Astyanax mexicanus: one gene and its partners. Each later gene encodes a partner of the first gene's protein in a complex. Links are inferred from orthologs where the notes say so. Each region holds a gene or a part of one and is shown in the gene's direction. Other genes may lie near its edges.

Region 1 (7,996 bases):
TATGGGGAGGAATTTGTCCACAAAAAATGTCCACATTCTCTTTGCCAATGCAAAACTGCTTATACTGCCATTGGTTTGTTTGGTGTGTGACGATAAACTCGGGCTGACGTCTTTTTGGGATTAAAGTTCCCTTTTTCTTGTAAAGTAGCTAATTTGTAGAAGGTTTTTATGTGACCGTGACTCCATACAAATGACAATACATTTAACTGTACTACTAGACAATCTTGACTATCCTGTTTATCAAAACCTTTGCAATATCTTTATGTTAACATGCTTTACTGGCCTTTTCTTTTAAATACTTGATGCGGTCATTCACTTCGCAAGGTGCAAGCAGGGTTTAAATAGCTCTGATCAAAACCCTTTATGTGGTCAATATTTGGCTGAAATGCCCTGATTCACTGACAAACTGAAAACGTTTTATGGCCACTACTTTGTAAATCATATATACAGTTACTGAGTAATCAGAGTTGCTTAATTGCCACTGTTTTTAAAGGACCACAATATTATTAAAGGGCCATAGTAACTTTGTTTCTGTTTTCTGCAGGTCGGGATTGTATGGGCTGTGCGAAAACTGGAAGCGGCAAAACGGCAGCTTTTGTTTTACCAGTGCTTCAGAAACTGGCGGAGGATCCCTATGGAATCTTCTGCTTGGTGTTGACACCCACAAGGTTGGCTGCCGCTATACAAGCTTTTAGAGAGAGTTTTTAATAAGAATGGAAAAACAGGAATATTACATGACTATAATTATTGCATATTGATTATATGTGCTTATGCTATATGTGTTTTTCTTCTCTTTCTTCTCTTCTTCTCTTCTCTTTAGGGAACTGGCCTACCAGATAGCTGAACAGTTCCGGGCACTAGGGAAACCACTGGGTTTGAGAGACTGCATCATAGTTGGGGGAATGGGTATGACTGCATATTGAAATAATGCATGACATTGAAAATAATAAAGCTACCACAGTTAGCTGGGAAATAAAATTAAAGCCCTGTTGTATCTATTTATTGTCCTTATTAATGTATTTTGTAATAATTTTGAAAGAGTTTGTAAGAAAGACTTTTTTTTCCCCCCCCAAAAGACATGGTGGCCCAGGGTCTGGAGCTGTCTAAAAAGCCACACATTGTTGTTGCCACTCCGGGGAGATTAGCAGATCACATTCGGAGTTCTGACACATTCAACATGAAGAGAATCAAATTTTTGGTAAGATCCACACTCATGAATGCATTTGTGCAGTTTTTCTATTAAAAATGGAATGTGGCAATTGTTCCATGTAAATGAAAATATGTGTTTATTGATTTGTTGTTAAAACATCTTTCTTAAGATCTTGGATGAAGCAGATCGTTTGCTTGAGCAGGGATGCACAGACTTCACCAAGGACCTGGAAGTTATTATCAGTGTTGTGCCAGCAAAACGGCAAACGCTGTTGTTCAGCGCCACACTAACGGACACACTGCAGGAGCTAAAAACCATTGCTATGAATGAGCCTTTCTTCTGGGAGAACAAGTCAGAGTAAGGAATCACATTCACAAAGTTAATCAGGAGAATTTTCTTCTAATGTTGTTAGAATGCTTCCTGCCAAAGGAAATATAAACCTAAATTCAAAGATTTCTGTAATTAATGCTTAGATATTTAAATATTACATTACATTACATTACATTTCATTTGGCAGACGCTTTTGTCCAAAGCGACTTACAATAATGAAGTACAAAAGTAATAGGAATTTAGATAACCCATTTTTAGATAGGGCTTAAAGGAGGTCGAAGGGAAATAAAGGGATAGAGAAGTGAAGGAGGGGAAGAAGGAAATGGGGTTAGAAGTAGTTAGTTTGTTAGAGGTGTTAGGAGAGTAAGTGCTCTTTGAAGAGCTCTGTCTTCAGGAGTCTCTTAAAGATAGCGAGAGATTCTCCTGATCTGGTAGTGGAAATATCTAACATATATAATTTTACTTGATTGTATATAATATAAACATACTGTATCATTTCAAATTGTTTTCTATAATATCCCTCATGTTCAACCAAATATTTGTCTAGAAAACACAGTTTAGGTAGTGTTATGTATCATTTGTTACCTGAAAATAAGCTGTAATACTAATGCCTGTAGTAGTGAGAATAGTGTCTGCCTCACTGCCACCCTGGGCTTGCCACAGTGGTTTCTGCATTATGTAATTATGGTGCAGTGGGCAGGACAATATTTGTGACAGTTGTGTAATGCTGCAGTACCTATGTAATAAGTGGTATTGCTCTGTTCCATATGTTTTCAAAGAACAAATAAGGAAATATGGCATGAGAGGCAGCTTAAAGTGCAGAATACACTTTCTGACTTTAGGTGGATTCCAGAAACAAGAAATACAAATTCTCGTTTATTGCTACTTTAACTTCTGTCAGTAGTTACATTTCCAACGAGCATAAATTGATACAAATATTATTTATGCATTTCTCTCTCTAGGGTCCGAACAGTGGATGAGCTTGATCAAAGATACATCCTTACACCTGAGAAAGTCAAAGATGCTTACTTGGTGCATCTTATTCAGAAAATCCAAGATGAACATGATGACTGGTCAGTCATGATTTTCACCAACACATGCAAGTAAGTTCTCCTATTTAATATGTATGGGTATTTAAAACTGAAGGTTTTGCAAACTGCAAGTATTTAATTTAATTTGAGATTTTATTGATTTTTTTCCTTTTTAGAAATTGCCAAATTCTTACAATGATGCTTCGTGAATTTAAATTTCCCGCAATCTCCCTGCATTCCATGATGAAACAGGTATAGCAGATATATGCATTGTATTATACACTAATAAGGATATTTATAGTATGTTTAATATTAATGTTTTTATATGAATGTATTTAAGTCATTGGTACTTTTGTATTATTTAGAGACAACGATTTGCAAACCTTGCCAAGTTCAAGTCCAATGTTTTCAAGATCCTGATAGCCACAGATGTTGCTGCCAGGTACTTTTTGACCCTGAGTGCTATTAAATTTGTCTGTTTTTAATTAACTTATCGATAATATATCTAAAATGTCAATAAAACTGTGTTTGTTTAATTATTTTTTTCAGGGGTCTGGATATTCCTACAGTGCAGGTTGTCATTAATCATAATACTCCAGGACTGCCTAAAATCTACATTCATAGAGTGGGCAGGACTGCCCGTGCCGGTGTGTATGTTTTTTCCTCCAGGATTAGTCCAATGTTTGGTTTTGCATTAAAAAGCAGTCCTTAATTGATGTATTTTGGATTTCAGGAAGAAATGGTGTTTCAATTACACTGGTCACACAGTATGACATTCATCTGGTCAATGCTATTGAGGAGCAGATCCGTAAGTGCACAGTTAAAGCAATACGTTTTTTGTCTGTTCAATTATTTTCATATGAATCAGTATTACATAGACATACTAAGTAAAGCCAATCTCTGCTGAGTATTTAAAAGTAAAGTATTTAGCAAATTTGGACACATAGTAGCGATCCTTTTTTTAAGCTATTACAGAAAAGCATTTATGCACAGCCTTTGCATAGAGTTTTAGTTATTTAAATGTTTTGAAATAGGGACTACAAAGTGCAGATGCTCTATATATTTTTGACACCTGCATGTGGATATCTGCTTTTCTTTTTTTTAGAGACCAAGCTAAAGGAGTACCCAGTGGAAGAGAAGGAGGTGCTAAAGATCCTTACCCAAGTGAATGTGACGCGACGACAGTGTGAAATTGTATGTTATTTTTCTTTTCTTTTTTCTTTTTTTACACATGTGAGTCAAATCAATGATGAATAAATGTTAAAGCTGTATTTATTTGTTGTTTGCAGAAATTGGAGTCAACAGACTTTGGGGAGAAAAAGGAAATAAACAAAAAGAAGAAAATGATCCTAGAAGGGAAAGTAAGTAGGCTCTAACTACTGTTAGTGAAATGGAAGGATACCGTTTTGTGAACAAAGAGCTGATATTTCCACACTATATGGTATAATAATGTGAAAACAGGTTGTCAGCAAATGCTTTCGTTTTTAATGCTGTTTTTGTGGGTTTTTTTCCGCAGGATCCTGACTTTGAAGAGAAGAGAAAAAATGAACTTGCTAAAAGAAAAAAGGGAAAAGCAGAAGGAAAGGGGAGAATTCAGGAAATTATTCATCAGAAGAAGAAAGGAAAGCTTGTTAAAAAGAAAGGAAAGAAAACCAAAGCCACACTTCCCAGACAGTCATAAATCTGCATGTTTAGCATTGACCGCTGTACATTTTTGTGCATATGTGAATAAATGGATCATTTTTTGCAAAGGTTTAATTTGTATTAAATGTATTTTTTAATTAACATTTTGTAAATGTTTACTTGTTGACACAATAAATTGCCATTAATTAAAAGGATGTAGTGTGAATTAGAAATTATTTTAGTTTCCTTTCCACACCTTGACGAGATTCTGCAAGAAAGCACAGCCATTGCCTAAATTACCTGGATATTGTAGGTAGAGCTGATAAGGGTGATGTAAAGGGGAGGTAAAAATATATGTATGGGTGCATAATGACAAAAGAGTAGATTTTTATACAAAACAAAGTGTACATTACGAGGTTCTTTGATTTTACCTAATTGAACATAGCTGGAATATAACAGAGGAAAATAGATGATCACAAGCCGAGCTGAACTGCTTGAATTTTTGCACCAGAAGTGGTAATAAAGTTATCCAAAAGCTGTGTGTATGACTGGTGGAGGAGAACATGCCAAGATGCCAGACAACTGATTAAAACCAGGGTTATTTCACCGAAAATTGACATTTTTATTTCGAATTTGGGAGAAATGTTGTCCGTAGTTTATATGAAAAACAATCATGTTCATTTTGCTCTAACATATCCCTATAAATTGCAAAATCAGAGAAACTGATTCTGAAACTGAAGTGGTCTGCTAATTTTTCCAGAGCTGCATATTTATCCTGACCGACTTTATTGAGCTTTTATTTTGAAGTTTGCCGGAAAGCGCATTAATAACCCGGATGAAGCCTAGTGGCGCTGGCAGAGTATGATGCTTGAGCCGCTTTTTGTTGAACTGAAACTTATAACAGATTATTTTCCTTTAGTTACTGCGGTTTAATTTATAATTTATATAACTATATAGTTCGTTCAGCCTGCCGACATGGTAAGTACATACTCTCATTTAGCTGCACAGTTAATTTACACCATCCGCCGGCACTGCACCGCTGCTCCAGTAGCTTAGCTAGGTTAGCTTAGCATAGTTAACTTAGCGAGTCGCCGTTCAGTAACATGAGCTAAAGCGTACTGAGCTCTCCGTTTTTACAGGATTCAAACCAGCTTCTTAAATTAACCATGATAATCGAGAAACAGGTTCTGCAGATGTTAATGTTTACATATAATGCGAATGCCACTGTATTTAGCTAAGCTACATAGGTTAGCTACCAGCTGTAAACTGCAGGCTAAAATAAACTCTCTGTGAGCGCTGGAGTGGAGGTAAAGATTCGTCAATGTTGTGGATACTGAATATATATATATATATATTATATTATATTATATTATATTATATTATATTATATTATATGAATAATATATTATAATATAATATAATATTATATTATATTAATAGCTTAAATGTTTTCCTTTTAATGAAAACTACCACTCCTGCTTAATTAACCTTTCCAAAGTGTACTTTGGTTCTCAGACACCTGGCAATATGCAAATCAGTCAATACCACACCATCCCTGCTGACGTCTGCAGGGCACACTGCTGCTCAGCCAATCAGCTCTCTCTCCTGCCCTGTTTCTAAACCCATACATCACCCAATGCCCCTTAACTACCCCCAGCTTTAGCTGAGGGTTGAGTCAGCAAAAATCAGGGGGCCCCTTTGATGAAAACCCCAGTTTCAACATCAAATGCAATATTTCCGACAGGACTAGAACGCAGCATAAGTGCATTAGTGGGGTGTATTAAGTGGTTCACAGTTTTCATTTTTGTAAATTATGTGGTAAGGATTTTTTATTTGCAAGTACTGTAATATAATTTGAGTTTGAGGCAGCATTGCATTCTAGCTGTTGTAATATGTTGCACATAGCTGTTTCAGTACCATAACCATCTGAAGGTCTCACTATTAGTCCTATTGATTTTAATTTATTGCAGTGCAGAATATTGAAAAATGTAATGTTTTTCAACATATTTTGACTAGAATTTTTTTTGTTTTTACAAAAATGTTTATCTTACTGTTAGCAAAGAGTAAATTGTTTTTTTTCTTACAGCTTCCGCTATCTTTACTGAAAACAGCACAAAACCACCCAATGGTATGTACCAAATAGATTTTTATATGTAATAGTCTGTTATAACCTAAAAACATGTGTCTAGCCTTTGTTTAGCCTGACTGCATGTACTTGAAATGCTAAGCACTTTTAAACAAGGAAAGGAAAAATTGTTTTTCTGGGTTGCATGAGATTACTAAATGTTCTAAATGTTATTTAGAAAAGTATTGTTTGTATAGTATTGTTGGCTATATGTGTAATGTGTTTTTTATTTCTAGCTAGTGGAGCTGAAGAATGGGGAGACGTACAACGGTCATCTGGTCAGCTGTGACAATTGGATGAACATTAATTTACGAGAAGTCATCTGTACCTCAAGGGTAAGTAGAGTCAACAGTTAATTAGGTATACCAAACTCATGGGTCAGGTTATGTACAGTTTTTTTATTAGTGTTTGTACATTTGTTTTATGCAGGATGGAGATAAGTTCTGGAGGATGCCTGAATGCTACATCCGAGGAAGCACGATCAAATACTTGCGAATCCCTGATGAAATCATTGACATGGTTAAAGAGGAGGTTCTCTCTAAAGGCCGTGGCAGGGGTGGCATGCAGCAGAACAAACAGCAGGGAAAGGGCAGAGGAGGCGGTGCTGGCCGAGGTAAACAGAAATGGCTATATGGCCCAAAAAATGTTAGAAGAATTGCTGTTGGTCAACAATTGAGTACAAAATAATTTAGCATTTGTACAGTGGATGTAAGTGTAATTTGTTTTCTCAGGTGTGTTCGGGGGCCGTGGAAGAGGGATGCCAGGCACTGGCCGTGGACAGCAGCAAGACAAAAAGCCTGGTAAACCACAGGGAGTCAAAAACCAGCACTGAACACACAGTATCATTTTCTTTTTTTGTCTTTCGCTGTAGTTTGTTGCTCTTACCCGACGACTTCCGTCTAACTTCTCATCGCATTGCAGAACCCACAGTCTGATTTTAATGCAGCAGTTTTCTTTTTGGTACAGATCCGTATAAAAGATACTTTTGCATCACATGTATCATGGGGGTTTTCTTTAGACAATAAAAATGTTAGTTTCTTCGTAGTTCATGTGATATGCAAACAAGAAGATTTTCAGGTTTCAACGCCTTTCACAGGCATTCATTATAGAAAATAATTTTGTTTAAATTGAATTTGAGTTTGGGATGCCGTAGATGTTTCAGATTTTAAGTTCATCACTTCATACACAAAATGGCATCCTTTTTGTCACAGTAACTAGTCTTGGTTTAAGTGTTTTGGTTTCCGGTTTTACCACCTGATTTGTCTGTTTTCATATGATATGCAGTGGACTTAAGATGTCAATAAACATTTTTTGTTAAGTTTTGTTTATGATACTTTATTGGCTGAAAGAATGAAATTTTTAATGCCGCGTATACATATTAGGATCCTGAAAGCATGATGCAAAGCACTATGATGCAAACAAAGGTATTTAGAGCAGTTTGATGTGAAATGCAGCATTCTAAGAAACTGTCTAGTCAGAAATTGTAAAAACGATCTAGACATTCCCACCTTTTCAATTGTGTTCAAGTGTTGGCAAATGTTTTCTGTAGCTACATATAGGTATTATTTATGGTTTATTTTGGGTTTTGACCAATGGCTGCCTGTAGTTCATATGTTCATGTAGTTCATATCATAGGCTTTAGATGAATTTAAACTATTTAAGTTTAAGTAAATACTAGTTTATAGTTTACTTTATTTGTATTGAAATATATGAATAATGTCCTCTTTGTATTGAATA
Region 2 (7,969 bases), on another chromosome or scaffold:
TCCAATAGTAGCAAACTAAGCTCAGCTCCAGTCTGGTACAGAGCAGGTTTGTCCAAGTGCAAATTTTGCTGTAGTAACTAAGCTAGGCTTAAAAACATCTTAAAAACAGACACACACCTGGAAGAGAGGAAACCATCGTACCTTTCCTCTAATTCAGCTCAACCAAAAAGGCTGGAAGAGAGGAAACTCAATAAGCTGGGCTTTTTGAGACCGTCTCAAAAAGCCCAGCTTATTGAGTTTCCTCTCTTCCAGGTGTGTGTCTGTTTTTAAGCTGTGTGTGTTTGTGTATTAAGCCACGGTTTTACTTATTTTTGCTTTGTTCTGCAGGGGGTAAACCCAATGACTCCAAACACTTTGACCCAAACAGACAGTCTAATGAATTCAGACGGAAGGTACTATTTTTTTTATTTTTATTCTACAATAATGCTATTCATCTCAGTCTATAGACTGCAGTTTAATATTCAGTTTATGAGAGGATGGAGATAAAATAAAACTGTTTATTTTTTCGTAGAAAAACCCAAGAGGACACAGGCAGGGTCCTGGAGGCAGAGGCATGCCTGCCAAGTCCGAAAGGTAATAGAATACATGGATTATTTTGCCGGATTCTTTAAATATTAAGTAGTATTAATTTATACAGCATTGTTGTATGGTATTAATACATTTGTATAATTCCAGAGGATTTCACCACAACTGGCCCAGGAGATAGAAATCTTCGCTGGACACTTGCCCTTTTAAGGGACCTTCTTCTGTCTAAATTGTTGTTGTTTTTTCTTTCCTTTTTTATGTGGGTCATTTTATTAAATTAATTATGGCTTACATGCTACATGATGCTGTACTATATGTTTTGAAAGAACTTTCATTAAATTGAAATTTTAAATGATGTTTTCTTTTTCTGATTTTGGAATTAAAGCTTATTGTGTGTGTGTATATTATAAGTATTATAATACAGATTATTGCACTTTATTGCACCTGTTAATTGAGAGCTTTTAAATTAATCTACCTTTTATATAGTATTTTATATAGAACTTATATACACTGCTCAAAAAAATAAAGGGAACACTCAAATAACACAATATAACTCCAAGTAAATCAAACTTCTGTGAAATTAAACTGTCCACTTAGGAAGCAACACTGATTGACAATCAATTTCACCTGCTGTTGTGCAAATGGAATAGACAACAGGTGGAAATTATTGGCAATTAGCAAGACACACTCAATAAAGGAGTGGTTCTGCAGGTGGGGACCACAGACCACGTCTCAGAACCTATGCTGTCTGGCTGATGTTTTGGTCAGTTTTGAATGTTGGTGGTTCTTTCACACTCGTGGTAGCATGAGACGGACTCTACAACCCCCAGAAGTGGCTCAGGTAGTGCAGCTCATCCAGGATGGCACATCAATGCGAGCTGTGGCAAGAAGGTTTGCTGTGTCTGTCAGCGTAGTGTCTAGAGGCTGGAGGCGCTACCAGGAGACAACAACCGAGCAGCAGGACCGCTACCTCCGCCTTTGTGCAAGAAGGAACAGGAGGAGCACTGCCAGAGCCCTGCAAAATGACCTCCAGCAGGCCACAAATGTGCATGTGTCTGCACAAACGGTTAGAAACCGACTCCATGAGGATGGTATGAGGGCCCGACGTCCACAGATGGGGGTTGTGCTCACAGCCCAACACCGTGCAGGACGCTTGGCATTTGCCAGAGAACACCAGGATTGGCAAATTCACCACTGGCGCCTTGTGCTCTTCACAGATGAAAGCAGGTTCATACTGAGCACATGACAGACGTGACAGAGTCTGGAGACGCCGTGGAGAGCGGTCTGCTGCCTGCAACATCCTTCAGCATGACCGGTTTGGCAGTGGGTCAGTAATGGTGTGGGGTGGCATTTCTTTGGAGGGCCGCACAGCCCTCCATGTGCTCACCAGAGGTAGCCTGACTGCCATTAGGTACCGAGATGAGATCCTCAGACCCCTTGTGAGACCATATGCTGGTGCGGTTGGCCCTGGGTTCCTCCTAATGCAGGACAATGCTAGACCTCATGTGGCTGGAGTGTGTCAGCAGTTCCTGCAAGATGAAGGCATTGAAGCTATGGACTGGCCCGCCCGTTCCCCAGACCTGAATCCGATTGAGCACATCTGGGACATCATGTCTCGCTCCATCCACCAACGTCACGTTGCACCACAGACTGTCCAGAAGTTGGCGGATGCTTTAGTCCAGGTCTGGGAGGAGATCCCTCAGGAGACCATCCGCCACCTCATCAGGAGCATGCCCAGGCGTTGTAGGGAGGTCATACAGGCACGTGTAGGCCACACACAATACTGAGCCTCATTTTGACTTGTTTTAAGGACATTACATTAAAGTTGGATCAGCCTGTAGTGTGTTTTTTCACTTTAATTTTGTGTGTGGCTCCAAATCCAGGCCTCCATTGGTTAATACATTTTATTTCCATTGATGATTTTTGTGTGATTTTGTTGTCAGCACATTCAACTTTGTACAGAACAAAGTATTCAATGAGAATATTTCATTAATTCAGATCTAGGATGTGTTATTTGAGTGTTCCCTTTATTTTTTTGAGCAGTGTAGTAAGTTGTTTCTTATTTTCTTAAATTAGAACCCTCTCAGGTTTTATTTGAAGGTAAGGAAAATATGTTGTATGTTTTTGTATGAAGAAAACTCATGGAATCAATGCCAATTACATTAAAGGGAACATTGTTTTTAAATTGATAAAATGATTAAATACGTTCGGTAAAAACTGAATGGTAAATTATGGGACCTATGCATTAACCCAGAAAAGCTCATGTGACTTATGTATCACAGACCCTTTAAAAGCTGTTCAGTATCTTACAGCAGTCTGTCTATTACTTTAACTTATGAAGTCCGTAAGTGACACAAAGTGGCTTGCAAAAGTATTCATACCCCTTTAACATTTTCTCATTTTGTCACCTTACAACCACAACCCTACATTTATTTTATTGGTTTTAAGTGATGGACCAACACAAAGTAGCACATAATTGTAAAGTCAATAAAAAATTACATTTTAATCAAATAATCTTGTTTGATGTGCAAAAGTATTCAGCCCCCCTATATTAACACTTAGTAGAGCAACCTTTCGCTGCAATTACAGCTGCACATCTTTTGAGGTATGTCTATCAGTTTTGTGCATCTAGAGACTTAGCTCAAGCTTAGTCAGGTTGGATGGAGAGCGTCGATGAACAGTAATAAACATCTCGTCACAGAAGCTCAATAGGATTTAGGTCGGGACTTTGACTGGGCCATTCTAACATATTAATATTCATTGATCTAAATCATTTCACTGTAGCTCTGGCTGAATGTTTAGGGTCACTGTCTTGCTGGAAGGTGAATCTTCTTTCCAGTCTCAAGTCTTTTGCCTCCAACAGGTTTTCTTTTTCAGGATTGCCCTGTGTTGAGCTCCATCCATCTTCCCATCAACTCTCACCAGCTTCCTTGTTCCTGCTAACAGAAGCATCCCCACATCGTGATGATGCCACCACCATGTTTAACAGTGGGGATGGTGTCAGGGCAAAGAGCAGTGTTACTTTTCTGTTACACATAGCGCTTTGCTTTTAGGCTTGTGGCAAACTTCTTATGTTTTTCTTTCAACTATGGTTTTCTTCTTGCCACTCTTTCATAAAGGCAAGATTTGTAGAGCCCCCAACTAAAAGTTGTCCTGTGGACCTGAACTGTGGATTTTTGCAGCTCCTCCACAGTGACCATGGATCTTTTAGCTGCGTCTTTGACTAGTGCTCCCCTTGCTTGATCTGTCAATTTGGGTGGACAGCCATGTCTTTGGTAGGTTTGCAGTTGTAAAATACTTTATTCCATATTTTGATGATGGATTAAACAGTGGTCCTTAGGATGCTCAAAGTAGGAGATATGTTTTTATAATCTAACTCTGCTTTAAATGTCTTCACAATTTTATCTCTGATCTGTATATTGAGTTCCATGGAGTAAAGGGGGCTGAATCCTTTTGCACATCACACTTTTCAGATTTTTATTTGACAAAATTTTGAGTGAATCATTTTTCATTCCACTTCACAATTACGTGCTACTTTGTGTTAATCTATCACCTAAAATCTTAATAAAATATGTTTGTGTGTGGTTGCAAGGTGACAAAATGTACGCCCCATAGATGACATTATTTCTGGAATAAAATGTTAAAAAAAAAATTATGACACTTATGTCATTCACATTACATCATGATTTTAACTTTACAATATTTACAGTCATCTGCCCACAATAAAAAACAAAACTATGAGCAGCTCACTAAATTTATCTGATTCAATTTTGATTGATTTGATTGGTATCAGTTTTAGATTATTATTATTATTTAGAAATTGATATGGGTAACAGGAACTATTATGTAGCTCTGGGGACTTTCCCTGTTATTTAAATAAAGTTTTAGATAAAATTTTTAGTCCTTTCACACTTTAATTCATTAATTTCTGTTGCCACATTTTTTAGTTGGTGGAAGATAATTGGTTCATTTACTTGTCAGACAACAGCCTGAGTAGTGGGAGGGGCTAGGAGTAGGAGCAGAGAGAAAGGAAGAGATTCATGGGGCACAGCTGCTAGACTCCTGCTCAAAACATGTCCAAAATGTGTCCAAAGGGACAGTTAAACCACCTGAGTGACACTTTAAAGCATCTTTCATGAGGTAAATTATGTTTCTGTGCACACACTTTTAGGTTAAATTGTAGGTAAAATTAGGAGTTAAACTATTTGTAGAAAATACACCAGAATGCAGGAAAGGGCTTCTAATTATTAAAAGGAAAATCTCTCCCCCCACGTTTAAAGTAAAAATAAAAACATGTACTGGTCATTTCTGCTTTAAATTGGGGAAAATATTAAATATACCAGCTAGTCTTGAGGCGTTACGAAAATGGTTTTCGGTTTGTCCCTCGTGGAGCCTCGTAGAAATGTCCAGTCGCGCTTGCCGTAGCGGAGCAGTTTGAAACGGGTTCCTGTGTTAGCGTGAAGGAGAGTGAAGTTTCTGTTCTGAAGTTTTTTTAACCTGCAGTTTTACTCCAGAATGAACGTTCAGCCCTCAAACCCCAACAACCCCATCGTCTTCTTCGACGTGACGATCGGAGGGCAGGTCAGTGACTCCAGCAGCCGCCCTGAGCGCGCGAACAGCGCTGCTGCTGCTACTGCTCGAGCTGTGTGAACAGTGTGTGGACAGACTGTGTGTGTGATGTAGTTGGTGCTGTAAAACGTGGTCAGATATCTGAATGGCTTTAAAAACTGAAATGAAAAGTATTAGCTGCTGTATTCAGAGTTCACATTACAAGCCACGTTGCTCAAATCCGATTCTTGCTCAGTTCAGATTCGGTGACGGTTCACATTCACAAATATAAGTGACCTGTATCTGTGCGTAATGTGAATGAATCTGTACATTGATTTGAGAAAAACGTAAACGTCGCCTTCTTCACCACCAACAAAAAACGTCATATTTGAGAGACGACTCGTAGCTTTATAAAGGTGAAATGGATGCGTTTGTCCGCAGCGCATATGTGGAGCATCTTTTGCTGGACCGTTCACATTCTTATTGCATGTCCGTGGATCGGATACGTATCCGATTTAGGATCATATATAAAATTGACTTAAATTTAATTAAAAAAAGGAAATTGGCACGTTCACACAGCTATAAAAACACTATATTTGAGTCACTTCAGTTCAGTTTTAATGTAAACGTAGCCTTATAGGAGTTCCATAGAATCACCAGCGCAAACAATGTGAATCGTTTAATATGGTCAATAAACTGGTCTTTATTTAGACTAGACTTACCTGTTCTAATACTAGAATCGTAGAGACAGTGGCTAACTTATTTATTATAATTATTAATTATATTATTATTATTATTATTATTTCATTATATTTACATTTATTTTATTTTCGATTTTTATTTAAATGACAGTTTGAATCAGTAAAAGGGAAAACAAACTCACAGTACACAAAAATACAAGGAGCAAAATTAAATATTTTTTCATGTACAAATATACCTTTAGTCTTTTTGTTAGGTCAAGGTATAAATACATGTATAAATTATTATTACTAAATAAAAAGGTCTGAGGTTTTCCATTTACAGATGAGAATGATATGTACCCAAAATTATAATGACATTAATTCTTATTCTAGTCGTATCTTAGTGTTTTCTGGTCCGCCTGCTCTCTGTAGCACATACTATCTTTCACCTGTAGATGGCGCTGTTGCGACAGTTTCAGTTGTTAATCTGAATGCATTTAAATAGGTTTGTTGACCCATTCACTCCATTATAAACTGTTTTATAAATAGATATATCAATACAATTTTAAAAATGAAGGCTGAAAAAAAAAAAATGTTAAAAATAATTACACAGCAATAAAGGGCAACATTCACTGAACCTCTTAACAAATATACAGTTAGGGCCATAAATATTTAAACAGTGACAAAATGCTCTTAATTTTGTTTCTGCATGCCACCACACTGGATTTGAACATCTGAACTGTAATTAAACTTAATTGAATTTCAGATTAAATTCAGGGGGTTAAACAAAAATATAAATATAATTTATGAACTTTACCATTAATAAAATGTAAGTTTTTTATCTTTTGTTGAGAAACATTTTCAAGCAATGACTGCCTGAACTCTGGAACCCATGAACATCACCACACACTGGGTATTTATCCTTTATGATGCTTTGCCAGGCCTTGTCCTGCAGCTGTCTTCATTTCTAGGCATCTCTTCCTTTAGCTGTCATGATAATTATCGTACATTATCATATATTTTCCTCAACAGTGCAGTTCTAATCATAAATGTGCCTCACCAGTGCGAGTCTAATCACATATTTACCTCAACTGTGAATTCAACTTAAACTAAGCATAGGTGGTGCGAAATGCTTTGTTTAATTTCATTTGTGAGTAGAGCATATAATGAACTTGAACCTGCAGTTTGTTTGCTCACTGCATTGTAAATAGCAGGTCTCTTATCAGCCCGGGGGAGGTTTTGGTGGTGTTTGGGTGTGCCGCTGCTGCTGCAAAAATCCTAAAGTAAAGAAGAAATGCTGCACCCCCATATTTAACTTACTTAAATTTGTTATATGGAAAACAAAGTAGTTTTTTTTTCTTCCTTTTTTGACCAGATCAATTAGTTTACCCAACGTTTTTTGCATCTCTTGTTATTTCCTTGTTTAAATTATTTCAGCTTACAATCACTACAGAAACTGTGGAATGGGGGGCCTGCAGGGCAGAGAAATTTCAGAGTATTCATCCCTCTGCTAGACCTGTTGAGCAGGAAATTTGGGGATGGGTTCATGAGGATGTCTCTGTTTACATCTGTAGTCAGTGTCTGTTTGATGTTCATATAACTTTTAAATACACAGTACTAGTTCCAGTATTCAAAAAACACCCCAAACTCTTACATGCTTTATAAATAAAGCATTAAAAAGTATTGGAACACCATCTTATTTAATGTTTTTTCCAAAATCCAAAAGAGAGTTTATCCTGCTTTTTCTGAAGCAACTGGCTCTTTTGTCCAGAGACGGCCTTTTACTCGATTTTTATTTTTACAATTAAGGCTTTGATTGCATTCAGTGGTAGTGAAGTCAGAATGTTGGATGATCAAAAGCACACTTAAAAACGTGTAGGCTTTTATTATATTAATATAATTGTATTATATTTATTATATCCCATTCACCTATATTGGCAAATTACTGTGTGTATGTATACAAACATAAATCAGATAAAAATTCAGTCTGTATCACTAGATCCTTATTTTTAGGTCATTCCTACACTTGTATATTAAAAACCTAATAGCATAGTAGTGCATTTATACCCTTTTAAAAAGCAGCAAATGTTTAATTAATAATAGTGTAGAAGTTATTTACATTTATTTTTTTCTGTGAAATATTTTTATTATTTAATGTCCTCAAGAACACATATTGTAAAAAGGCTAAAATATGGGCAATCTTAAGATTATGCCCC
Region 3 (8,022 bases), on another chromosome or scaffold:
TCTTAAAACTTGTGAACATGTTTTCTTTGCATTATTTGAGTTTTGAAAGGTCTGCATATTTTTTTGTTATTTCAGCCATTTCTCATTTTCTGCAAATAAATGCTCTAAATTGCAATATTTTTATTTGGAATTTGAGAGAAATGTTTATTCTACTGAAACATAAACCTATAAATAGCAAAATCAGAGAAATTGATTCAGAAACTAAAGTGGTCTCTTAATTTTTTCCAGAGCTGTATATGTATATCCATTTATATATTTTTTGGCACAAATTTGACTACAAATGCTAAACTTACTTTTGCCTTATGTGAAGAAATGTTAGTTATTATGTTATTGATGTAAATGTCTCCTCTTTCCTATCAGTCATCCATTCCAGGGACAGTATAGTGTGGCTGATGTGAAGCTGCGCTTGTCACAGTAAGTTCTGGACTCAAACGTCTTAAACTCTTAAACTTCTGTAACTTTATTTTTAACTCTGCTACTTTGCATTATTTTAGTATGTAAAAATTGACTCCTATAGAAAGTGAGTAAAGTGACTTTTTGATGTTTGAGTATGTAGAGTACTAGTGCAGCCTGAAGAGTTGTGTAGCTCGTTGTTGTGGGGAGGGTAAATAATATGCTTTAAATAAGTAGTACGACTTAAAAATAGGTAGTATTAATCAGTGAAAGTAATTTGAGTGTGTTTTTGTTCTAGTTCAGTGCAGAACAGTGAGCGGGGAAAAAAGCTTGGGAACGCTGTGATGACCACCAGCCGCAGTGTGGTGCAGACTGGAAAAGCTGTAGGTATGTATGACTAAGGACACACACACACATACACACACAAAATAATTTAGTTTGTTTGTTTATTTAACAATGGAGATTGGAAAGGGTTGCACATAAGAGTAAATAGTGTAAACAACAAGAATGCCAAGTTAATAATATACTGTAATTATCTTTTAGTATTATGAGACAAATACTGGTACTGCTACTACTACTGGTACTGCTACTACTACTACTAACTAAAATTTTTATTTTCCCAATTTGACCAATTCTATATAATTATAGTATTGCTTTTTCTATTTTCAATAGTTTTGTATACAAAAATATCTCCAAATATTTTGACACAACAAAAAAAATAATCATATCGTGATAGGAGTTATATTCTAGTTATTATATAATAGTAATATTCTTAAACTAATTGGTATTTGTTTTGCTTGTGCTTTCTGTATTTACATTTAATAGTTTGGTAAGTCTATGAAATAGATGTATTTATATTACATTTAATTTATAAAACTGTATATTTATTCTAAGTAAATCTTTAATGTTTATTTTGTTGTAGTAGTGTGTGTTTGAATTTTTTTTTAAATCATATCGTCAAAAAAAATATTGCAAGTGTAAAAATTTCCTAAAAATATTGTGATTATTTTTTTATGGCCATATAGCCTACCCTAGTACACTGTAATATTTGTTTTAGAATTATGATAAAATCTTGTTCTAGATTTATCTGCCACAAAATGCTTCATCTAAAACATTGCTTTTAATATTTTCAACTGTACTACAAATTTATGTGCACAATTTTCAGATTATTTATGAATATATGTGTACATTTCCCCTGCCCAGGTCAGTCAGTGGGCGGAGTTTTCACCAACGCTAAATCTGCCATGTCCTCCTGGTTCTCCACACTGGCCCCGCCCCCAGTGACCAATCCACCTTCAGACTCTACAGCAAACAAACAGTGACCTCTTCATGCCTCATTCACACTGTTCACCAGGATTCATCTTCACACTTATGGTTCTGGATGGTTTACTGTATTTTTATGATCACAGCATAAGTTTACTTTTACCTTTCTTCATCTTTTAGGTCAGAGAATCAATGTTAGAAGCAGTTCTACTGTTCAGCTTCAAAGTATTCAGTCTCGAAATGATTTAGAATTTGTCCAGTACACTTCCTACTTCCTTTAGCCATCTTTAAGCATCATCATGTCTAACCAAAATAATTAAGTACTGAAGCTTGTTGCCTTTAGCAATCCAGAATTATTTAAATATTCTACAGAGCTACAAATCATTATCAGAAATATTAACATCGTATTTGACATAAGATGAGTGGAAATAGTAACACTGTCACTGAGACAAAAGGGCAGTGTGGATTATGCTGATTCTTTTGCTTGTGTTTTAAATGAAGTACTTTTGACAGTCTCAGGTTTAGTCGCATTGACTCAAAGAAAGAAGGGATTTTACATTTGTAGCCTAAAAATGACATCAAACTATTAAAAACAACACACATGGAACTGAGAACTCAGAGATTTGCTCTCATATAACCATTACCAAGGTTTTAGAAACTGTATAGGCAGTTTCTTACACTCACAGCTTCTTACACTCACAGTCCATTTCTGAGGCTAGGATTTAAAAGCCCAAACAGCTCTGTAAAAATTAAGAGACCACTTCAGTTTCTAAATAATTTTCTCTGATTATAGGTATATTTATTTATAGGTATATGTTTGAGTAAAATGAACATTGTTCTTTTATTCTATAAACTATATACAACATTTCTCCCAAATAAGTTCAGAAATCAATATTTGGTGGAATAACCCTGGTTCTTAATCACAGTTTTCATGCATATTGGCATGTTCTCCTCCACCAGTCTTACACACTACTTTTGGATAACTTTATGCCACTCCTGGTGCAAATATGTAAGCAGTTCAGCTTGGTTTGATGGCTTGTGATCATCCATCTTCCTCTTGATTATATTCCAGTTGGTCAAATAAAAAAAAAACTCATCATTTTTAAGTGGTCTCATTTTTTCAAGGGCTGTATATTCAATGCCTTTCAATGAAAAAACTCTTCTGTTTAGCTGATGAGTTGACTCAAGTGTCTTTAATGATGTAAAACTCTAAAACCCTGCAGCACTGTGGCCTTGAGTCAACAGAGCTGGCCCATTCCAACCTGCAGTTTTAAAAAATATATGAATAGTTAAGAAAGCAGAACATAAATGTATGTGTGAAATTGTTATATAATAAACAGAGTATATACTATAATATAATGTAAAGTCTCACCATAGACTATTTAAGTGTTAATTTGTTTGGTTGGTTGGTTTTGACCATTTTCTGGGCTGGTTATCCTGTTTGTTTTCCTCGGAACATGTTTAAAACGTATAAAATGGAATATGGCTGCTGTGCTCTCATGTATATGTATCTAGTTTCTGTGTCATTAGCTTGTGTTTAGATGTCTCAAAACACACACACAGATTGTGTTTGAACAATCCTTGTGAACTCGTACAAGGCTTCCCTTCTAGGCTAAGTGAACCAGTACGTACCTAATGGCCTTATTTAATATGGCATTTTAAATTAATTAAACCATTTTCCCTTCTTTTGTCTCTCTCATATTGGTTATTAACACCAAAAACACATCTTTTATATCTGTTTCTGTTTTCTCATTTTCTGTTCGTTTGTGCTATTATTGTAAAATAATGGTCATATCTAATGGGATGACATGATCAATTTTATTGTTGTTCTTTGTGTTTAAATGTAGAGTGATTTCTGGTTAGTGTTTAAAGGGCCCATATCCTTGATTTTTAAACTATAAATAATGCACCATATTGTTTTTTTTTTTTTTTTTTGTGAAATTTTGTTCCATTTTCTCTCTTCTCTGTGTTGGAGCGGTTTATTTATTAATGTCCTTAAATTGCTTTTCACTTTATATTGAGGTATTTAGAGATATATCAAAAATGAACTAATGATGCAGATGCTGTTTATTTTTTTGGTGATCTACAATATTTACACATCATTGAGTTCCATCTATTAAATAAAATACTTTTGAAGACCTTATTTTTTGGATTAATGATTTGTATCTCTTTATGGTGCACATGAGAGGAATAAACATGTACAAGCTGTGCTGTATAAAAAAAAATATATATATATATATATATATATATATATATATATATATACATACACTGTTCGTGTATAAATGTTTACAGTAGAATTTTGCAGACATTGACTTCTTTTTGAGGTTTGTAGTTTTACTGGAAGCTTTAGTTTTAGAGTACCCCTCACCAATACAAAAGCACAGAACGAAATGCTGAGTTTAATATTGTTATTAATAATAAGTGTTCAGACTGTTTATTTACATTCTTATATTTAATTCAGTTTAACTTCTTTTATCATTTTGGCATGTTTTTTTGTTTTACAATCACACAAACCACTCTGACATTAAACGTGCTGTAATATTAGGTATGAACAAATCATTCATAAAGCCAGAGCTCTAAAATCTAGTTAAACCTGTCAAGGCTTTTAAAAACATACTGAGCCTTATGCCATAATGATACTGTATATACTCCCCAAATATGCCTTTGTGGCCATAAGGTCTTGTGAAAAAAAAACACATAAAAAATAAATCAAATTCAAGAAAAAGCATAATTATACCACCCCTTCTCATTCGATGTGTTTTCCTTCTTTTTATGATTTTTACATTGCAAATTTAATATTGAAGACATTAAAGCTAAACAGAAACTCATGCACAATAATTATTTATTATTTTTTATTGTCCCTTTCTACATGGCAAGAACATGTTAGGCTATAAGAAATGACTACAAGATTACCACATTTAACTTTAAGGACAGATTTAGGTTTAGTTTTTTTTAAACTACATATTTGTCATATGTGTTCCTGATTTGTTTTATGCCTTTAATGTTAATATGCAATGTAGAATAAATAAATAAATAAAAATACAAAATGAGAAGAGTGTCCAAACTTTATGCTGGTACTGTAGATATTAGAACAGTAAAGTAGTTAAGTTACATGGGTTTCTGTCGTGTTAGCTAACGTTATATTGTGTTTGTGAGTTCTGTAACTATCTATGAGTTTGTATGTTTTTTTGTATGGTTGCTTCAAGCTCAAAAATCAAGCTTTAAGAAGATTTTAACCCCCGTATCCAGACGCAGGCTGTGTTTCTGAGATGTTTTAACCCCGCCAGCAGGGGTCCCTCCTCAGATTCTCTAACAGTAGTTCTGGTTTAGTTCGGGTTCAGATTGTTTGCAAAATGGCGGCAACAGCGGCTTCAAACCCGTCCCAGCTCCTTCCTCTCGGTATGAAATGTTTAATTATATCAGATTAGAGACAGAAACAGCGGGTTAGAGAGAGTAATATCAGCAGAAGGGGTTCAGATTATGGTCTGATACGCATTTGCTGGTGTATAAAAGCTGTATAGGGTGTAAGTGGGCTCTGATCTCTTCACTGAGAGATAGAGGTGGGTAACCCAGGTCCAGAAAGTTAAAATCCATCCCAGGGTTTTGTCTCAGCTGCCTGTGCGGCTCAGACTGTTGCTGAGCTGCAGCTGAAAAACACAGCAAAACTCTGGGGTGGATTTTCAATTTCTGCACCTGGGTTACCCACCTCTAATGAGTGAACAGTGCAGGTTAATGAATAGAATATTAAATAAACGTTGTTTTTGTTGCATTAAGTATTTTATTGATATTAATGAAATAAACAAAATTTAGCCTTAATTAAACATCAACATTTCCCGAGTACACAAAGGCATCAGTATAATTATTGATAAAATGTTGGTTGACATTGAATCTTTTGAATAATTGAAGCTCTTTTACACTCTCAATTAATGTTTTTATGTGAAAGGTGCTCCCCACAAATAATAATATTCCTGTCATTACGTATCACAACATTTTAAATAAAAAATAAATTAACAAAATAATGTTAGTAATAATAATCTTATTTATATATTCAGTTTAAATATCAGGTTGTTACATTCAGTAGAAATAAACAAAAAAAATACTAATACCCATAATAACATAAAAATGCTTTCAAGAATACTTGACTTTATCATGATTATTATTATTATTATTATTATTATTATTATTATTATTATTTGTGTGTGTGTGTGAGAGAGAGAGTTTTGTCACATTTTTTTGCGATGTTATTGCATGCGATAGGATTTGGCGCACCCCTTCTTTTAATAATTAATAAATAAATTACTTAGGCTATAAGAAATGAATACAAGCAAGACATATTTAATTAATGTAGGTAAAATTGAATAAGAATAATATATATCTCACTTATTCTTGAGAATTTGAATAAAATATGTCCCACCAAAAAAGTGCTAATGGTGTTGGAAATAAAAACATTTATAAAATAAAAAGACTCAGGGGGATTTGATAGGACAGTTATTTTATAGGACTATTTACATTTTTATTCATTCAAGTCGTTCTATAATGTTCTGGTCTATACCAGTGATTAATACACCTTTGAATTACCTGATGTTAGCTGGTTGACCAGGCTTGCTGTTGACCAGCACAGGGTACGTTTCCAATCTTATGAATTTGATGGTTTCGCTGCTTTACGAGCATTATCACACTGTCTCAACTCTACTGGTTGACCAGCAATTCCAGCATGACTAAACATGATCAGAATAAAATATATACACTGCTGATCATGCATAGGCCATGTTTTTGCCTGGATGAACAGTAAAACCCATCTAAACAGCTGCCAGCTAAAGCTAGCATCATGCTTGAATTTTCAGCAAGGTGGTCACAATATTGAAAAAATGTTTTACATCTGATAAATGATAAATACTTATAAATGTTATACATCTTTATAACCACACACACTGTTCTGTTCATTTTCTTTTTCAGAGCTGGTGGACAAATGTATCGGCTCCCGAATTCATATTGTTATGAAAAATGACAAAGAGATTGTGGGTACCTTACTGGGTTTTGATGACTTTGTCAGTATCCTTTTACAGCTTTTTATTTTCCGTGTGATCGTTTCTGTCTTGCATTTGCAGCAGCAATATGAACACATTAAATGTACACAGACTGTACTTACACTTGCTTCCTTTACTAATTAATTCAGACATGGTACTTGAGGATGTAACAGAATTGTAAGTATTCATTTTTTTATTATTATTATACAGACACCAAAACAGGATGATAAGTACTGTGATGCAGGAAGATAACAAAATCCAGCATGATTTATTCATTATTATCATCGTTATTATTTTCAAATTACAAGATCCTACTTCAAACAGTACACCAGTCATCCACTACATTGCAAGCTCACATGAGTCATTAGTGTTTTGCTGAATTAGGTCTACAACACCACCAGAAGCTGAGCAGTAATGTCTGGCCCCCACTTCCCTCCAAGTTCATAGGATTGTACTCACAACAGCATTACTGATATCCTAACAGCATATGAACCAATCAGCCTAATCCCATTTTACCCATTGGCCCTACCACTTCCCCTTCCCCTTTCTTTTCAAGTGTAACCCTTTCCCTTGGAGCAGAGTTACAAGAGAAAGGGGTAAAATTCTCCCCCTAAGAATTGGTACAACCGTCATCAGGTGCGCTAAAGTTCAGTAACCTAGCTGTTGGCTAGCTAGGTAACTTTAGGGCATTGTATGTCTTTAAAAAGGGAGGTAGTGCAGAAATTAATTATTATTGTCAATTCCTTTATTCCTCTGTGATGGGGAGCTAAAATTAGCTTTAATTTATCTTTTCATTCCACCTTAAATGCTGCAGCCCCTGCCATCTGTTGCACCATTTAAGGTGGAACGGTGAAAGTTTGCTAGCTAGACTCTGCCCTGCTCCATCCAACATTCGTAGCTGTTACCACTGAGTAGATCTTTCAGCTACTACTGACCGTTCCTTCATGACTGTCATGAAGGAATCTATCTGCTGGCAACTTCCAATTTTGTGCATCAACCATTTACCAATATCAGTATGCTGCTCTCTCTCTACATTACACTGCCTCTTGTGAACAAATCTAATTGCTCTTCTGCCATTAAAAATGAGGAAGTTGTTAATCTTTAAAAGCTTCTTATCAAATGTATCTGCTAAGTGACCTAAATACCTGATTATGCCTCCACATATGACCCTGTGATTAAATGTCCTTTAAAGTTTCTGTATTCAGTATGAATTATATGAATTATTTATGTTTTTGTAATATTGCAAGATTTTGCCATCTTCCTGTATTATGCTATTTATTATGTTACAGTTAGGTCTGGGTGATAATACAGACATTTTGGATATATTTTCTTTCTT
Region 4 (8,083 bases), on another chromosome or scaffold:
TGGTATTCCTTCAGAGCTCATATTCATCGCTGCCACGACGAGGAGCAGCGTCTCTGCAGCCTCTCCGTCTGTTCCGGCTGCCCGTTTATCGCCCACCCTAAGGTGATCGCCAAGCACTATAAACTGTTCCACGCTGAACCACCGAAACCAGAGTATGAACCAGTACCACAACAACAACAACAACAACAGTTGCCCACTAAAGCTATAGGGAGTCATATTTTCCAGTGCAGAAAATGTCCCTTTAACGATACTCTCCTGTACAGCATGAAGAAACATGTTCTCATTAATCATTACACCTCCCTGTTAAATCGCTTTGCCGCACAAAGGACTGAAAGTGAACTGCACGCTCTTGGGCCGATGTACCAGAAGTTTTTCTGTAAGGTCTGTGGTGCAAATGCAGAGACTTCTGAGCACTTGCTCTATCATATTCTAACTTCTGAAAAGCACAAGGAGTTGGAATTTCACATCAACGTACTCATTTTCGAGACTGACAACAAGAAAATGTTTCCCGCTCTTGCGCCGAAAGCGCAAGGTAGTCCCGTTATCGCAGGACCGACCAGCCAACCGATAGTGACTCCTGTTCCACCTCCAGGAGCGGTAATGCCGGGAGTCACAAACGGGGGTCCTAGACTGTACAGCCCCCCCGGGCAGAACCCAGCTGTTCTTCCCGCTCAAGCTTCAGCCCTCGTTCAGCTTGCCAGTGCTGAAGCAAAGGGTTTGCTGCAACCTGGCCAGCCAATGAATCTGCATAACGTCCAAGCTGCAAGAGCTGGACCTGCCACGGTACCTGTCATGGGAGGCATGGCACCTCCGCCTGCAATGCATCCGGTTATGCCACACCAGCAGCTACCAGTCAGGTTGGGAGTGCCTGGTCAGATGCAGCCTCCTTCCCGTCAAGTTCTGGTCCCGCCAGGAATGCAGTTCAACGTGCCATCTGTAAGAGGACCTCCACCACCACCACCAACACCGCAATCGTTGATTGTATCTCCACGGTTCCCTGTGAACCAGCCAACTCCTAGGGGCACCATGTTGACATCACAGTCTCTCCTAAGTCATCTGATTCCCACGGGCAACAAAGTGGACGGCCTACCTACCTACACTCTTGCGCCACTGCATGTTTTGTCTGTCCGGCCAAATAACATGCAAATGGCCAACAACGCGCCGTTGCCTGTGCCGCATCATGTCCCCACACTTCAGCACAACGCCTTGGCCAGCAATGGCTCCCAGGACTCCAAGCAAACCAAGAGATGGGTCACCTGTCCTGTTTGTAATGAGCTTTTCCCATCCAGCATATACGAATCCCACGTCGAGGTCCATAAAGAGGCGTCCAAGAAGACCAAGCTAGGCCTAGCCGCCCGAGCACCCTTCTTGAAGAAGATGCCAGACAAGACTGTGAAATGTCTGATGTGCAAGATCTTGCTCTCTGAAAAAGGACTTTTTGAACATCTGCTTCACGGCCTGAACTGCCTGTACTGTTCAGGGATGTTCTATTCTCTCAAGCAGCTGGTTGCGCACATCCAAATGGATCACAATCCCAACCAAAAGGCGAACTGTGACTTCATGAGGCGAGAGTATCGTCTTTACACTGACGAAAGTGGCAGCCTCCTGTTCCCTTACTTTGACATCAACACCACAGCGCCAAAGGAGATGATGGGAGAAAAGGAGCTTAACTTGGCTCTAGTCACCAACTCCCTTGATTTGATATTCTTGAAGATGCTGCCTGCAAGTCCTCAGCAAGTGTGCAAGATGCCCATGCCAAAACCAGACAGTTTAGACTGTGTTTTCTGTTCTGAAAAGCAGCTGAACATGGAGTGTTATCAGCTTCACCTCCGAGAGAAGCACTACATTGTACCTACCCTTCATGCTATACTCAAATCCCCGGCATACAAGTGCGTCTACTGTGGTGGAGTGTACACGGGGAAAACTACAGAGAAGGCAATCTCCGTCCACATATCCAAGTGTCGCTCTGCGCCCAAGACCCCTAGAGATGCCGAGAGGATAATGAGTTCTGGTCTAGCCGTTGCGCCCAGAGGAAGCCAAGGGCTGCTCTCGTTTCCTCCACCTCCAAGACAGTCTTCGATTCAAGTTCCAGCTCCAGTCCAAGCCTCGGTCCCTGCGATCCAGTCCCCGCATACAGCCGCGGAACTGCAGAGCAAGTTGAGGCTGGAGCTAGCCGTGAAGGAGGCCATAGCGGCAAACAAGAAAGAAAGAGAGGCCAGGCTAGCAAGGAAAAGGAAGTTGGAGAGAGACAGGTTAGCAGGTTTGACTCCTCCGTCGCCTGATATGCAGGTTGATCCTTCAGTGCAGTTCGCTTTGGACCCTGCTGGAATGGATATACGGTCATTTGAAGATCGGAGGGATTTTGTGAACAAGTACTTCAACAAACAGCCCTATCCGCTCAAGAAGGAGATTATCGCCTTGAGTAATCGCCTACTGCTGAACAAAACCGACATCGCCTGCCAGATCGGATCGAAGCGCACCAGATGCATGAAGCACCTGCAGAAAAACAGAGCCGCCGTGCTTTTAGGTTTCAAAATGACGGAGTTGTTGAAACTGAAGCACGACCTGGTTATTCCCCAGATTGAGCCGGAGAAGACCTCTGCAGACACAGAACCAGAATCCCCGGGTTCAGAATCCGCGGGATCAGAACCTCTGGAATCGGAAACCCAAGACCCAGATTACATGGAACCAGAAAGCCCGGAAGCACAAACGCCAGACCCAGAAAACATGGAACAAGACACCCCGGGAGCTGAAACCCCAGAACAAAATGGTCAGAGCGAAGAGGCCCGAGAGGTTGACTAGTTTTGTTTTGTTTTTCTTTTAAAGATGAATAAATAATTCAGAAACAGGAACAAATGGAGTGGGAGACTCCTCAAAACAATGCAAAAACAAGGTATATTGTATTAAAGGTAGATCAGTTCTCACAGGACCACGTTCATTTCCTTAGAAATCTGTGTAGACTCCTTTTTCTTGGAAGTAAACTTAAATAATAAGTTGAACTTACAGTGCATCTGGACTTATATGCTGTTCAGTAATATTAGTTTTAGTAGTCATTCTACACAGTACTGTTAAAACTTTGAGAAATGTTTTCCCATTACATTCAGACAACTCACATGTTTTACAGTGTGTTTATTACTTTTGCCTTCACTTTGTTTCTGTTCGTTCTTGTTTGTTTGTTGGTTTGTTTTTTACATTTTAGCATATTATCAACTTTTTATACCTGGATATTAATATAAAACTGAGGCGCATTTAGTTAAAGCGCTTTCATAGTAGTGTAGTTCAACGTATTTAAGAAGTTACCCGTTTTCTTTCCTGTACGGTTCCAGTATTCTGTTTAAGTGCTTCCTCATTTATTCTGTGCCTACATGATATGTCAGTATGGTATGTCAGTGTGTGTTACTTTACATAGAATTGTGCCTAAACATGAGTTTCCCTTTCAGCCTCCTTCTATCATGGTCTCTTACTCTCTTACTTCGTGGGTCTCTGGATCGGGATGATTTGAAACATTGGGATAGCGATAAGTCCTTTTAAATAAAGGCTTGGCCCTGAAATTGGTAGCTTACTACACCACTGTACAAGTTTCAGTAAACTGTTTCATTTCTCTGGCCTACCAGCCCTGAGGTACCACTCTGTTGTAAGCATGGCGGTCTGTTGTTTCATTGCCATTTGTAAGCATGGTTCATGAGCATTTGGTTTTTGTAATAGTGGAATGTAAGACTGTTAAAAGATTTAACATATTTGCTCACAACTTGATTTCAAGCTTATCTCTTTAAAAAACAAGGCAGATTGCATAGTGGAGCATTTGTAAGGGCACTATGTAAGAAAGAATGCAAAATAAAGTTACACCTTGAAACACTGTATGTGCTGTTAATGTCTGCTTTATTTTAAAACATTTTATTTAATATTTTGACTTCATACATCAATGCATAAGACATTTCTCAATAGTAATCATTTTGTATGGTTCGTTGTTCGTAAAAGTTTGATTCAGTATAAAAGACAACTGTGCGTAATACATAGGGGCAATTCTTTGAGATGGGTGATTTTAAGCTCATATAATATTTTCATCTGATAGTTTTAATTAGATAAGCCTTTGACCTTTTAATTTTTATCCAAAATGATGCATTTCCTTTAAGATTTTTTAGGCTTTTATATGTTTTCTGACTGTCCTGTAAATTATACACAAAGTCCAATAAACATTTACCTTGTGTTTCTTAAATATTAATATAAATTTGTCCAATATCGGGGTGTAATTCAGTGTGAAAAGTAGCCCTAATTCCACATTTAGCATCACAGGGTATTTGACTCATTGTTTTCCCCTAAACAATTGTTATCTATATTTTATTTATATAACTTGGTTGAAATACGTGATTGAAACACCTGAGTACCATGATTTAGGTGGGTGATAGAATTCTTCTCGCAATATAGACAATACAGGTGCATCTCAAAAAATCAGAATATCATTGAAAACTTTGCTCTATACTTTAATACTTCCTTTATTTCAGCAATTCAGTTCAATCTGCTGGTGTTGATCCACTGTGTTTTATTATCAAGTCTAAAGTCTTGTTTTGTTAAAGTCAGTTTTGTTTCCCCACAAAATCTTACAGCACTTCATATCTTACAGCTTCCCTCTGCTGACGATAACTTTCATGGAGATGCTGATTTCATTTTCCAGCAGGACTTGGCACACTGCTAAATGCACCAATCATTCTTGTATAATATTAACATTTTCTGAGACACTGCTTTTTTTGGGTTTTCATTGGCTTCAAGCCATAATTATCAACAATAAAAGAAAATAAACGTTTAAAATATATCACTCTGTGTTTAATACATCTATATAATATATGAGTTTCACATTTTGAACTGAATTACTGAAATAAAGTTACTTTTAATAATATTCTATTTCATTGAGACGCACCGGTATAGTGTACCCACGTTACGTGAGTACGCGCCTCCGTGCGCACGTGTGTGTCGTCACTTCCGTATCCTGCTCAGTCCGCGAAGAGCTCCGGCGGATGGGGGAGGTCTGATAGAGGCAGAGAACAGCAGCACAAATAAACACAAACTACACTGATTTCCTCTTACTGAAGGTAATATTCACGTTACTCATCTGTTTTACTGTACATTGTCCCTTTTAAATCTGTTTTTACTTACTTAAATCTTTACTTTTACTCTGTAAACGGGTTTAGATACCCAGACTAGTAGTAAGCAAACTACTTAGCTTAGCATAGCTGCCTGGAGTGTTCCAGAAATTTTAAGAAGCTGATATCTAAACTAAGCTAAACTCGGTTATCTAGCCTCTATTTAAAGTAGAGAATATAAAGTATAATCATGAATATACACTGTAACTGTGATTTATATTGAAAATAATTAATGCCTGATTAAAAAGCTAAAACACAACCGAGGAAAAAATGTAAATACAATCCACCAGCTGCATTATGCAGCTGTATTTACCAAAATTAAATGATCACTATTGCATTACATTTCACTGCTTTTCATCTCTTTATTAAAAATCAATACACAAAAAATTACATTTACAAAACCAAATACTGTTGCATTTAATCACTAATGTCAGGAAAACGAGCCGCAATTAAAAGTAGTTAGTCAGGAAACTCTAAAACACAGCTCACCGGAGTCACTAAATCATATTTCTTTTTCTTTTTATTCATCTAATTTTCTGTTTTTACCTTTTAGACTTTTAATTTGTTTTATTTATTTTATTAATTTTGTCTTTATATTTGTTGTTTTCCTTGTTTTACCTTTGGCCTTTAAGCTTTTTAATATCATTTATTTAATATATTTTATTATTCTAATCGTTTATCTCTTAATTTTATTGCTTTACATTTTAGCCTGTGCACTTATCCTTTTATTCAGTTTATTTGTATTTCTTCTTAATTAAATCTTATCTTGTTTTTCTAAAGCTTTTATAATTTCATTTTGATTTTGTTTGACGTTACTTATTTTAGGTCACATGATTAAATTCTTGCTTTTAATTTCTATTTAAATGTAAATTACCCTCAATCTGTTACTGCGTGAAAATAACGGTTAAATGATTCATAGTTAAAAGATCCGGTTACACCAATTTTAACTAAGCCCCCTAATTTTAGCCAACTCCACCCTCATGTGCAGTAGTGAGGGGTAGTTTGGAAAGGACAATGTGATGTATGGGTTTAGGGGTAGAAGTGAGAGCTGATTGGATTAAAAACTATTGATCTACAACATAACAGCACACATTCTGAACCATCATTCGTCTTTCTTGTGTTACTTTAGGGAAAATATTTTTTGAGCCAAGATGTCGTACATGCTTCCACATCTCCACAACGGCTGGCAAGTGGACCAGGCCATTCTGTCCGAGGAGGACCGTGTGCTCGTCATCCGATTTGGTCACGATTGGGACCCCACGTGCATGAAAATGGACGAGGTTTTGTACAGTATTGCTGAAAAGGTGACTACATGCTTGTTTATCTAAAATAATCATTACTTTGCTTTTGCTCCCAATTTTGCTTTTGTATCTTACTAAAAATGGGTAGATTTCTGTACTGTAGAATTTGTAATTTGTCTCATTCTGTCTTTTCTCCTGTGTAATCCCAGGTCAAAAATTTTGCCGTCATTTACCTGGTGGATATCACTGAAGTGCCAGACTTTAACAAGATGTACGAGTTGTATGACCCTTGTACGGTCATGTTCTTTTTCAGGTGAGTGTTTGCCATATGAGTCTGATCCTTTTAATTTATCAGTGTAAAACACTACACAGCTATTTAAAAATATCTCTCTAGTAATCTCTCTTCTTTTGTCTTCTCTTGATTGCATCCTTTTTTTTGAGACAATGTTGTGAATTTCAGAACACAAAGCTTAAAATGAGCTTAATCAGAGTGTATTAGCTGTAGTAATCCTTTTTAAATACATCATCAGGGTTTACATGAACCACACCACATATAAATGAAGGTTGAGGCTGTGTAAATTTTAGATTTTACCCACATGCATTTACACCTGATAGCCTTCAGTTAGTCAGAAGGCTAAGAAATAAAAGTGACACTGTGTAAACAGGATTATAGTGTGGTTCAAATGGTCGGACTAAATACATGAAAAGTATATATTATAAACTAGTGCTGTATTATATGAGGATAAATATTGTGGGGACGATAAAGTGTTTATCGTGCTATCCCTATCGTTTTTCTACAGTAATTTCATCGATTATTCATGCAAATTAGGGTTGGGCGGGTTTTCAAAGTGTTTCATACTGTCATACGTAGGCCAACAATAACAAAATTTTCAGGACGATATATTGTCCCAGAAATTATTGCGATAAACGATAATATCGTCATTTTAAAGCACCACTATAGATTTTATTTTTTGTTTCCTGCTTCTGGGCTCCCAAAGGTGCTTTAAGACAATGTGCCACACTAATAATATACTAGCATAATACTATTACACCATTTTACAGATAAACTAACTTTAAATTATTAAGTGCAGACATTGGGCTCCCAATATAAAAATATTTTAATATCCTAAATAAACAAATAAAGTACACCCACCCTGGGTTCTGAAAAAACTGCACTAAATATTAAACCCTTATTGTAAAAAATAAATTAACAACAAATAGATTAATGTAACATTTACATTAATTATTAAAAAAAAAAACTCTGAACACACGGGCACTTGCAGATTCCTTTTTCTGATCATATATGTATTTATGCAGTAAAACACACATTAGCTTTGTGCATATGATCAAAGACACACAGATAGCTCATCAGGCCAGAGCTTTAGCTAGAAATGTATTTTTTAATGTAACTGTCAGACAAATTCTGAGCAAGAAACACCAGCATGTTTACCGTGTGGGGCTTGAGGCAGGATCTCTCTGGGGGAACAATTTTTATATTCAGTATTCAGCTGGATGGTTGTGCTTTAAATAAGATCTCAGGTTAGTGGCTTTTGTTTCCACTGTTGTGAAACAAATAAACATACCGGCTGATTCGTGCTGATGGTTCTCCTCGCTCATTTGGCTTAAAGCCAAAATACTCCTGCAATACTCCCGCACCGGAGCCGCGGAATACAGTTTTAAAACACAGCCAATCCCGGACTAAAC

Evidence for each region.
Region 2: lsm4 (region 1) and ppih share a complex: the UniProt entries of both Homo sapiens proteins name them as parts of the U4/U6-U5 tri-snRNP complex. The link is inferred for Astyanax mexicanus from reciprocal best matches to the Homo sapiens genes LSM4 and PPIH.
Region 3: lsm4 (region 1) and lsm5 share a complex: the UniProt entries of both Homo sapiens proteins name them as parts of the precatalytic spliceosome. The link is inferred for Astyanax mexicanus from reciprocal best matches to the Homo sapiens genes LSM4 and LSM5.
Region 4: lsm4 (region 1) and txnl4a share a complex: the UniProt entries of both Homo sapiens proteins name them as parts of the precatalytic spliceosome. The link is inferred for Astyanax mexicanus from reciprocal best matches to the Homo sapiens genes LSM4 and TXNL4A.

What each region holds. Positions count from the first base shown.
Region 1 is NC_064423.1:19,609,784-19,617,779, forward strand, and holds lsm4 (U6 snRNA-associated Sm-like protein LSm4), read left to right. Parts: upstream 1-4,948; 5' UTR 4,949-5,109; coding exon 5,110-5,112; intron 5,113-6,220; coding exon 6,221-6,262; intron 6,263-6,495; coding exon 6,496-6,594; intron 6,595-6,688; coding exon 6,689-6,872; intron 6,873-6,990; coding exon 6,991-7,091; 3' UTR 7,092-7,577; downstream 7,578-7,996. Other genes in the region: probable ATP-dependent RNA helicase DDX49, read left to right, coding at 545-668, 821-906, 1,077-1,198, 1,320-1,507, 2,443-2,583, 2,688-2,763, 2,877-2,953, 3,061-3,158 and 4 more. UniProt on the Homo sapiens protein: Plays a role in pre-mRNA splicing as component of the U4/U6-U5 tri-snRNP complex that is involved in spliceosome assembly, and as component of the precatalytic spliceosome (spliceosome B complex).
Region 2 is NC_064419.1:17,954,748-17,962,716, forward strand, and holds the start of ppih (peptidyl-prolyl cis-trans isomerase H), read left to right. Parts: upstream 1-4,923; 5' UTR 4,924-5,040; coding exon 5,041-5,106; intron 5,107-7,969. Other genes in the region: exosc10 (exosome component 10), read left to right, coding at 328-392, 512-573, 676-706. UniProt on the Homo sapiens protein: PPIase that catalyzes the cis-trans isomerization of proline imidic peptide bonds in oligopeptides and may therefore assist protein folding. Participates in pre-mRNA splicing.
Region 3 is NC_064422.1:19,671,107-19,679,128, reverse strand, and holds the start of lsm5 (U6 snRNA-associated Sm-like protein LSm5), read left to right. Parts: upstream 1-4,900; 5' UTR 4,901-5,012; coding exon 5,013-5,058; intron 5,059-6,615; coding exon 6,616-6,711; intron 6,712-6,835; coding exon 6,836-6,863; intron 6,864-8,022. Other genes in the region: late secretory pathway protein AVL9 homolog, read left to right, coding at 361-414, 692-780, 1,597-1,715. UniProt on the Homo sapiens protein: Plays a role in pre-mRNA splicing as component of the U4/U6-U5 tri-snRNP complex that is involved in spliceosome assembly, and as component of the precatalytic spliceosome (spliceosome B complex).
Region 4 is NC_064410.1:755,260-763,342, forward strand, and holds the start of txnl4a (thioredoxin-like protein 4A), read left to right. Parts: upstream 1-4,952; 5' UTR 4,953-5,087; intron 5,088-6,267; 5' UTR 6,268-6,289; coding exon 6,290-6,442; intron 6,443-6,588; coding exon 6,589-6,692; intron 6,693-8,083. Other genes in the region: adnp2b (activity-dependent neuroprotector homeobox protein 2b), read left to right, coding at 1-2,802. UniProt on the Homo sapiens protein: Plays a role in pre-mRNA splicing as component of the U5 snRNP and U4/U6-U5 tri-snRNP complexes that are involved in spliceosome assembly, and as component of the precatalytic spliceosome (spliceosome B complex).